Sus scrofa: one gene and its partner. The protein of the gene in region 1 binds, or shares a complex with, the protein of each later gene. Links are inferred from orthologs where the notes say so. Each region holds a gene or a part of one and is shown on either strand. Other genes may lie near its edges.

Region 1 (4,016 bases):
GGACCTGCTGTGTGACCCTGTGTGGACTACAGCCCTCTCTGGGCTCACTGCCCTTGAGGGAAATGAGAGGGGGCCAGGGAAGAACCTGAGCGTGAAAGATCTCAAACTACAAAGCAAAAATGTCTGCATCTGCAGTGATTTCTTGGGTCGTCATTACAGTGGGGGAGGGGCTGTGTTTGCAGCTAGGTTGTCTTTCCTGACAGCAGCCCAACAGGGTGAGCCTTAGGCCCCCAAACAGTGGTTTTTTTGTTTTTTTGTTTTTGCTTTTTAGGGCCACACCTGCTACATATGGAGGTTCCCAGGCTGGGGGTCTAATCGGAGCTACAGCTGCCGGCCTATGCCACAGCCATAGCCACAGACACAGCAATGCCAGATCCGAGCCACGTCTGCAACCTACATTTCATCTCATAGCAATGCCAGATCCTTAACTTACTGAGCGAGGCCAGGGATCGAACCCACAACCTCATGTTCCTAGTCGGATTCGTTTCTGCTGTGCCACAAATGGAACTCCCCAAACAGTTTGGACACTGTGTGCTTAAGCTAGAATTTCACACTGCCTGGTTTTCCCAGGTTTTTACCATTCTTGATTTTCCATGTATGGTAATTCTTTTTGGTCACACCTGCTAACATGTGGAAGTTCCCAGGGCAGGGATCAAACCCGTGCCACTGCAGCCACCTGATCTGCTGCAGTGACAACGATGGATCCTTAACCTGCTGATCCACCAGGGAATTCTCCAGTATGGTAAATCTATCTCAAATGTTTTTTTCTTTTTTTTTTTTTTTTGGTTTTTAGGGCTCCACCTGTGGCATATGGAAGTTCCCAGGCGAGGGATCAAATTGGAGCTGCAGTTGCTGGCCTACACCACAGCCACAGCAACGGGGATCTGAGCCACATCTGCACCACAGCTCATGGCAAAGCTGGATACTTAACACACTGAGTGAGACCAGGGACCGAACCCACATCGTTATGAATGCCAGTTGGGTTCATTTCCACTGAGCCACAGCAGGAACTCCTCAAATGTCTTTCTTTCTTTTCTTTTCTTTCTTTCTTTTTCTTTTTTTTTTTTGTCTTTTTAGGGCCATTCCCGTAGCATATGGAGGTTCCCAGTCTAGGGGTCGAATTGGAGCTATAGCTGCCAGTTTACTCCAGAACCACAGCAACGTGGGATCTGAGCCTTGTCTGGGACCTACACCACAGCTCACAGCAACACCAGATCCTTAACCCACTGAATGAGGCCAGGGATCAAACCTGCATCCTCATGGATGCCAGTCGAGTTCGTTAACCCCTGAGCCACAATGGGAGCTCCTCGAATGTCTTTTTCTAAATAAATGCATTAAGGCAGTGGGGACAGGGAAGTGAGATGATTACACGTTAATGAAAAATCCAGCTAGTGTGGCTGTCAAGAGGCAGCAAGCAGGGACCACTTTTCTTTATTTGCTGGAACACAGAGAGGGGTGGTGTTTGCCCAGCGTCACACAGCAAGTCAGAGCTGAGCTGGAGCTGAGCTGGTGCTTAGGCAGCAAACTGCTCCCAGTCCAAGGGTCCTAGGATTGGCAGGAAGTGGGGTGCTTGCACTGGGGGCTTCTCAGACAGTCCTGCAGGGAGACGTGGCTCTGGAGGGGTGAAAACCTCAGAGAGAAGGGTCACCCAGTCAAACTTCTCCTTAAACAGTTGCTGCTGGAATTCCCTGCCCTCCCCAAAGGTACAGGGGTCTAAAATGTCTTGCTTCCCTCTGTCTCTCTGAGTTCCCCCCTACTGCCCACCTTGTGTAAACTTTAGGACTTCTCCCAGTCTTCTCATCTCCCCCCATCCCTTGTAGCCCTGGAACCAAGGCCAGCAGTCATGGGGAAGTAATGCATAAAGCACCCCCCCCTGCCCCAGCCTGCGGTCTAACAGTTGTCTGGGCATTTCCGGTTCACTGCCAGCAACCGGTCAGACAGTCCGGCAGGCCAGGGGCTGCAGCTATTGGGAGTTTGCACCCAAGGCCCCCCCTCCCTGCCCCAAGGTCACACCAGTCCTGAAGGTAGGCCATTCCTGGAGGGGGTGGGGTGGGGTGGAGGGGGTGGGGTGGGGAGGGGGTGGGGTGGGGCAGAAATGGCCAGTTTTCAAGGTTGGGGTGACCTGGAATCTGGGTGGGGCAGGGCTGGGGGCCGGGCTGCTGTTGGCAACTGCACAGCTGAAGGGGGCTGAGCTCTGGGGAAAAGGCCTAAGCTTGGGTCCCTGAATACTGTCACCAGCCTCAAGCTGTCCCCTCCCCCCCCACACCTCTTGCCCTCACAGCTGGATGTCCTGCCCATGTCACAAAGAGTCAGGGCACTTTCCATTGCCCTGAAAAGTTGATGGGTGACATTTGCCCAGAGAAGTCAAGCAACCCTCCCAGGGCCACACAGCAGGTGCAGGACCCCACCCACACATGCCCTGTACTCTGACCTTCCCCCAGCAGCATGAGTGACCCGGAGCCACCCACTAAGACCACCGGGGTCAACACCCCCACCTGGCCTACTCAGCCCACGTACAGCAACCTTGGTGAGCGCTGGGGTGGGGCCCTGGGTGGGATATGGGACAAGTGGCTGTCCCAGGCAGCCAGAGCATAGAGGTAAAGTCTCTCGTTACCTTCTAAAGAATGCTCTGCCCAATGATGGTTTAACTTGATTATAGCAGCTTTTAAATTATCTTTAATAAGCTCTTTGTTTAAAGAAAAAAAAAATAGCTGGCTTTCACTAGCTTGTAAAAATGAGGAAACGAGTTCAAAAAGGCTCAGTCACCTGGCCAGAGCCACACAGGGAAGTGGGGGTCGCCCATGCTGGGCCGGATGTTTCTCTGCCTCTGACCTGTCCCTCCTCTGAACCTTCGTTTCCTCATGTGTAAACTGGAGAGGGCATTCTTAACCCACAGGGTCGTTGGGCTGGCTGGTATTTTTTCCATTTTAGACATGAGGGAATCAAAGCTGAGGCTGGAGTCGTGGGCCCAGGACCACACACTCTGGGCATCCTCAAGCCCCTCCCCACTCCCCCAATAGGTGAGGTCCGTGCCCACCTGCTGCCTTCCAAGCCCTGCCGCCCCAGAACACCGGAGCCTCCCTTGGCTGACCCGCAGCCCCTGCCTCCACCCCTGCCCAAGAAGACCTTGACCAGGACCCAGTCACTGCCCACCCACAAGGCCCCCAGTCCCAGCCCTGTTCAATCAGGGCAGCATCGGAAGCCGCTTCTGGGATCCCTCAGTGTGGACGAGAGCAGGGCAGGCGACCAGAGGGTGGAGCCAGCCCGTCCGCCTGCAGAGCTGCCCTTCTGCTCGCTGGACGCAGAGCTGGGCCTCTCCCTCCACGACCTGCACCGCCCGGAGGCTGTGCACGCAGCGCTGGAGGCCAGGCAGCTGGAAGGCCTGCGTGTCGTGCACGCCCGGCTGCACGCCCGGCTCCTGGGGGGCCGCCCCGGCCCCTGCCGCCCCGGCCACGACTTCCGCCTCTTGGACAGCTCGCCCTGCTTGGAGAGCGGGGACGCCCTGTACTACCGCCTGGTGCGCGCGGATGAGGAGGCGTGGCACCTCCTGGCTGCCAAGGTGAGCCCCGCCCCGCCCCGCCTCCGCCCCAGCTCCTGGGAGGTTTCCCCAATTTCCAAGACATAACCCAGGGCACTTTCGGCCTAACTGCTTATTTTGCAAATAACACATAAATGAACACCGTCTGCCCGTGGAACCACGTTTCTAAAGTGTGGGCCACCTACATTCGAATCTCCTGGGAGTCTTGTTAAACTCTCCCCACGCCTCCCAGGGTCCTCTCCAGTGAGTTCCTGCACCAGAAAGCCACAGTCGGCTGATACTTACCACTTTCACCACCATCACCTTTGTCGACATTGTCATCATTGTCGTTTTCAACAATCACCAAAATGTACTACTGAGCACTGTTCACGTCTTGCCCTGTTGTAAGGACTTTTAGGCACTTTCATTCAGCTAATCCTCATGTGAGCACTGCCATGTTTTGTTACAAAATGCTTCCGTTTCGTGCACCTCTAAGAGA
Region 2 (4,046 bases), on another chromosome or scaffold:
AATCTATCATTAGAGCCAGACTGCCTGGCTTTGATTCCTGGCTCCAACACCTACCCAGCGAGAGGTGTGTGTGTGTGTGTGTGTGTGTGTGCGCGCGCGCATCTCCTCAGGGAAATTATTTAACTTCTCTGTGCCTCAATTTCCTCAATTGTAAAATGTGGCTAACAGTATTTACCTACCACTGGTTGTTATGAAAGCTTAGTTAATGTGTATGTGCTGAGAGCAACACTCAGCACATATAAATGGTAGCTAGTCCATATATGCATAATATTCATGAATACAATCAAAACATTTACCAAACATCTAGTTAGATCTCACACCTTGATTTTAATTATTGAGTCTGTCGCAATAACACATCAAACACTATTACCACTGGCACTGGTCAGATGAGAAAATGGGCTCAGAAAAGGCTGAAGAGGCTCTACACAAAGTTCAATTTTATCATGATGTATCATTCTTTGAAAGCAACATGTATACAAAGAGGATTGGGTCTCCTCAGAATGTAATCAAGGCAAAAAGAAAGCCCTTAATAGTGAACCCTGTGATTCAAACACAAAACTAGAGGCTTATATTTAACAATTTACAGTTTGTGAGAAAGTCTCTTGACAACTCTGGAGATAGAAAAACCAAGCAGCAGAGATTAAGCTGCACACGGCTAGAAAATGCTGCAAACACAACTGGAATCAAATTTACCTGACTCCAAGTCCAGTGCTCTCTCTGCTTCAACAGCCACAGCCAAATGGGTAAAATGCACTTTTTGCAGCGGCCCGAATCTCTGGAGACTCTGCCTTGAGAACTGGCATTGTGGGAATTTGCTCAGCCTGGTTTTCTGCAGGCTGCTTCCAGATCTACAGAGCTCCAATTCTAAAATGGCTTCAATGTAATGCAAGCACTGCATGATGGGAAATGTACAGAAGATTATAGGGTAGGAGCCATACTCCAGGGGCTGACGGGCCATAAATATTTGCTACTGATGAATGAGGATATTCAACCTGAAAACCAGGTGTGTGGTCTAGGCCAAAGCATCTTATTTCTCATAAAGACTTCGTGGGTTAGATGGATGAATGGTTTCTTATCTCACTGAAAGGAGAGACCAGGAAAATAATTCAGCAGTTGCTTCTGGATTATTATTAGCCTTCCACTGTGAAGATCACCTGTACAATTCTAACCTGGGTCCAGTCAAATTGACAGATATTACCCTCACCACCTGTGCTAAGAACACAGATCCAAGAAAAATGAGGGCCCTGACACGTTCCTAGATAAGAAAAGGGGTGCTCTGGAAGCAGTCAAGAAGGAAATGACCAAGAACCAAGTAATATTAACATATATAAATTTCTAACATGAAAATGCAAAAAACTGAGTACCCACGTGTCTGGTTCTATAAACCACATACGTGTGCGGTTTCATGTGAACAACTGAGACAGAGTGAGAAATGCAGACAATTTTCACATTCTTCCAAGTGCTTCATCCTTCTGTTCTGGCTCCTGTAGCCGCTTGATTGCCAAATTCCGTCTCCCACACAGGGCAAGCAAAATCAGAACCTGATGCCATCTAGCCTTACCAAAGGGAAAAGCAGTGACGGCAAGGACAAAAGACATGAATTTTCACAGAAAGGTTGGCAAACTGTCTTACCAATACTGCCGCCTTTGAAAGCCCCATTACACGTGAGTTCTCCATTTGCAAGAGACAAAGATGTATTCATCTTGGGAAGAAAAGGGGCCTAATCACACCCACCCCTTCTCCACCACCGGGCAAATTTCAGTCCTAAAAACGTGCTAGCCCACAGTATAGGGGAATTTGGGGCGAGGACAAAAGAGACTCTGGCATTAAATGATGGGAAATAACGTGGGAAAATATTCCGATTCTCAACCTCTGACATTTTTTATTTATTTTTTTTTTCTGGGGGTCCGGCCTGACTCAGTAACCGGTTCCACCAAACGCATTTTCTCGATTCAAACCTCAACCCTGTGCTTCCTAGGGAATCTCGGGTTCTGTCAGGCTCCCGCACCAGCGAACGATGATGAAATGGCTTTACTGCAAAGTGGGAGGGGGTCTTCTCTCTGCTCTCTCCCAAGGTTAAACCCCTTACCCATCCAGAGGGAGTCGAGCAGGGCCATTGCGGCTCAAGAACTCGCCTGCATTTGGTTAAATTTCATTTTTGGGAACCGGAAAGCGAGGCGCAGGGGGTGACAGGGCTGAAAGGGTCGGTTCTGGCTGCTCAAGGCGCAGGGAGGGGTCTCGAGGGAATCGAAGATGGGTGATGAGGGGCGGTCAGGGGTCCGGGACACGATTCCCTTCCGGCCCGGCACAGAGCCGCACCCCGCCCGCCGGGCAGGGCCGCAGGCGGCGAGGGCGGCCGGGGCCTCTCCCAGAGCTAAGGGCCCGGCCCCGGAAACAGGGAGGGGCCGCGGCGAGGCCGAGCCCGCGCCGCAGGCGGCCGCACGGGGCTGAACAGGCCGCGCGCCGCTGCCACCCGGGCCCACCTGCGGGTCGCCCTCGTTGCTGCAGCCGCCGCCTGTGGGGGGGGTAGTTTGGAGCTTGGGCCCCTGGGGGCCCCGGGCGGACCCCGCGCCGCACTCACCGTGGGAGGGCTGCAGGGGGCAAAAAAGCTTGCGAGCGGAGCTCCCGGCGCGGTGACCGCTTCTTTCCCAAGCCCACTCCTCTGGCGGCAGCGGCGGCAGCTGCAGTGGCGGCGGCGGCAGCAGCTACCCCGGCTCCGGAATCGGCGGCGGCGGTGGCGGCGGCTCCACTTCCGCTCCGGTCACCACTTCCGCTTCGGCTCGAGCCCCGCCCCTGAGCCGTCTCCTCATTGGGTGAGCAGGGCACGGGGTTGCCCCGGCCGCCCGAGAGGGGCGCGGACAGAGGGAGGAGGAAGGAGAGCTAAGGGCCGGGATGCTGCGGCCGGGGGGAGGGCGGGGGTCGGGGTAGGGAGCTAGGAGGAGGCGGGTGTAGGGGGACGGAAATGGGGGCGGGGAGCTGAAAAAGGAGGTGGGCGGAGTGGAGGCGGGGCTGAGGGGGGGAATCTAGAAAAGCGACATGTGGAAACGAGGGGGCTGGGCAAGGTTTGGGGTTGGGCGGGCCTGAGGCTTAGGCTAGGGAGTCGCCCTGGCCGGGCCCAGAGTCTCTGAGGTCATTGGTTCCCACCCCACCCAAAAAATCATCGTCACTGAGTGAGGTTGAAGTTAGTCCCCTTTTGCTGTGTGCTTTGGAAACACTGCGTTTAAGGAAGGACAGAAATTTTTGCTAAATTTTTCCTTAATCCTCCCTTCAGTCCTTCAAAATACTGATCATTTCCTCCTTTTGTGAACCGAGAAGGCCAGGAATTAGACCTGTGAAGTGTTGTTTTTTTTTTTTTTTTTGGAAGCCTGTGTCCGTGATAGAATACCCCCTCACCCAAGCTCTTAAAGGAATCTTAAGGAACCAGGCTCCACGACACCCCCCACCCCATTCCCATCTGCTCTCACCATTTATCACCATTCTGCCCTTGCCAAGGCCAGTGACTATTAAGCCCAGTTCTTCAAAATGCCTCACCTCCACTGCCTCCCTTTCATTCATTCTTTCAGCGAATATTTATGAAGCAGACTTTTTGTTTCGTGCTGGAGACACAGCAAGAACAAGATAGACGTGGCCCTGCTGTCTTGGAGTTTATAGTCTGATACGAAATAGAACAGAGTAAATAGATAAGCCTTTGTCATTTCTCCTTTGCTTTAGCTTAATGATAGACTTCTAACTCTTCACGCTACCCCCAGTCCTGCTCCCATCAACTGCTGAAATGATCTTTTCTTTTCTTTTCTTTTCTTTTAAGGGCCGTACCCGCAGCATATGAAGTTCCTGGGCTAGGGGTGAATCAGAACTGCAGCTGCCTACCTAAGCCACAGACACAGCAACGTCAGATCCGAGACGCATCTGTGACCTACTCCGCAGCCCTCTGCAATGCCAGGTTCTTAACCCATTCAGCCTCAATGGGAACTCCCTGAAATGATCTTTTCAAAACCCCATTCTAGGAGTTCCCTGGTGGCTCAGTGGGTTAAGGATCTGGCTTTGTC

The links. The genes of interacting proteins can lie anywhere in the genome.
Region 2: the proteins of C2H19orf35 (region 1) and YWHAB are in contact, whole or in part, in a cryo-EM structure (PDB 8DP5), measured with the Homo sapiens proteins. The link is inferred for Sus scrofa from reciprocal best matches to the Homo sapiens genes PEAK3 and YWHAB. Residues at the interface, in NP_940934.1 of Homo sapiens: Arg66, Thr67, Gln68, Ser69, Leu70, Pro71, Thr72, Arg73; in NP_003395.1 of Homo sapiens: Val48, Lys51, Asn52, Arg58, Lys122, Arg129, Tyr130, Gly171, Leu174, Asn175, Val178, Glu182, Ile219, Leu222, Asn226, Leu229, Trp230.

What each region holds. Positions count from the first base shown.
Region 1 is NC_010444.4:76,283,947-76,287,962, forward strand, and holds the start of C2H19orf35 (putative uncharacterized protein C19orf35 homolog), read left to right. Parts: upstream 1-1,216; 5' UTR 1,217-2,024; intron 2,025-2,281; exon of another isoform or gene 2,282-2,441; 5' UTR 2,442-2,445; coding exon 2,446-2,527; intron 2,528-3,020; coding exon 3,021-3,559; intron 3,560-4,016.
Region 2 is NC_010459.5:47,296,774-47,300,819, reverse strand, and holds the start of YWHAB (14-3-3 protein beta/alpha), read right to left. Parts: upstream 2,801-4,046; 5' UTR 2,582-2,800; intron 1-2,581. UniProt on the Homo sapiens protein: Adapter protein implicated in the regulation of a large spectrum of both general and specialized signaling pathways. Binds to a large number of partners, usually by recognition of a phosphoserine or phosphothreonine motif.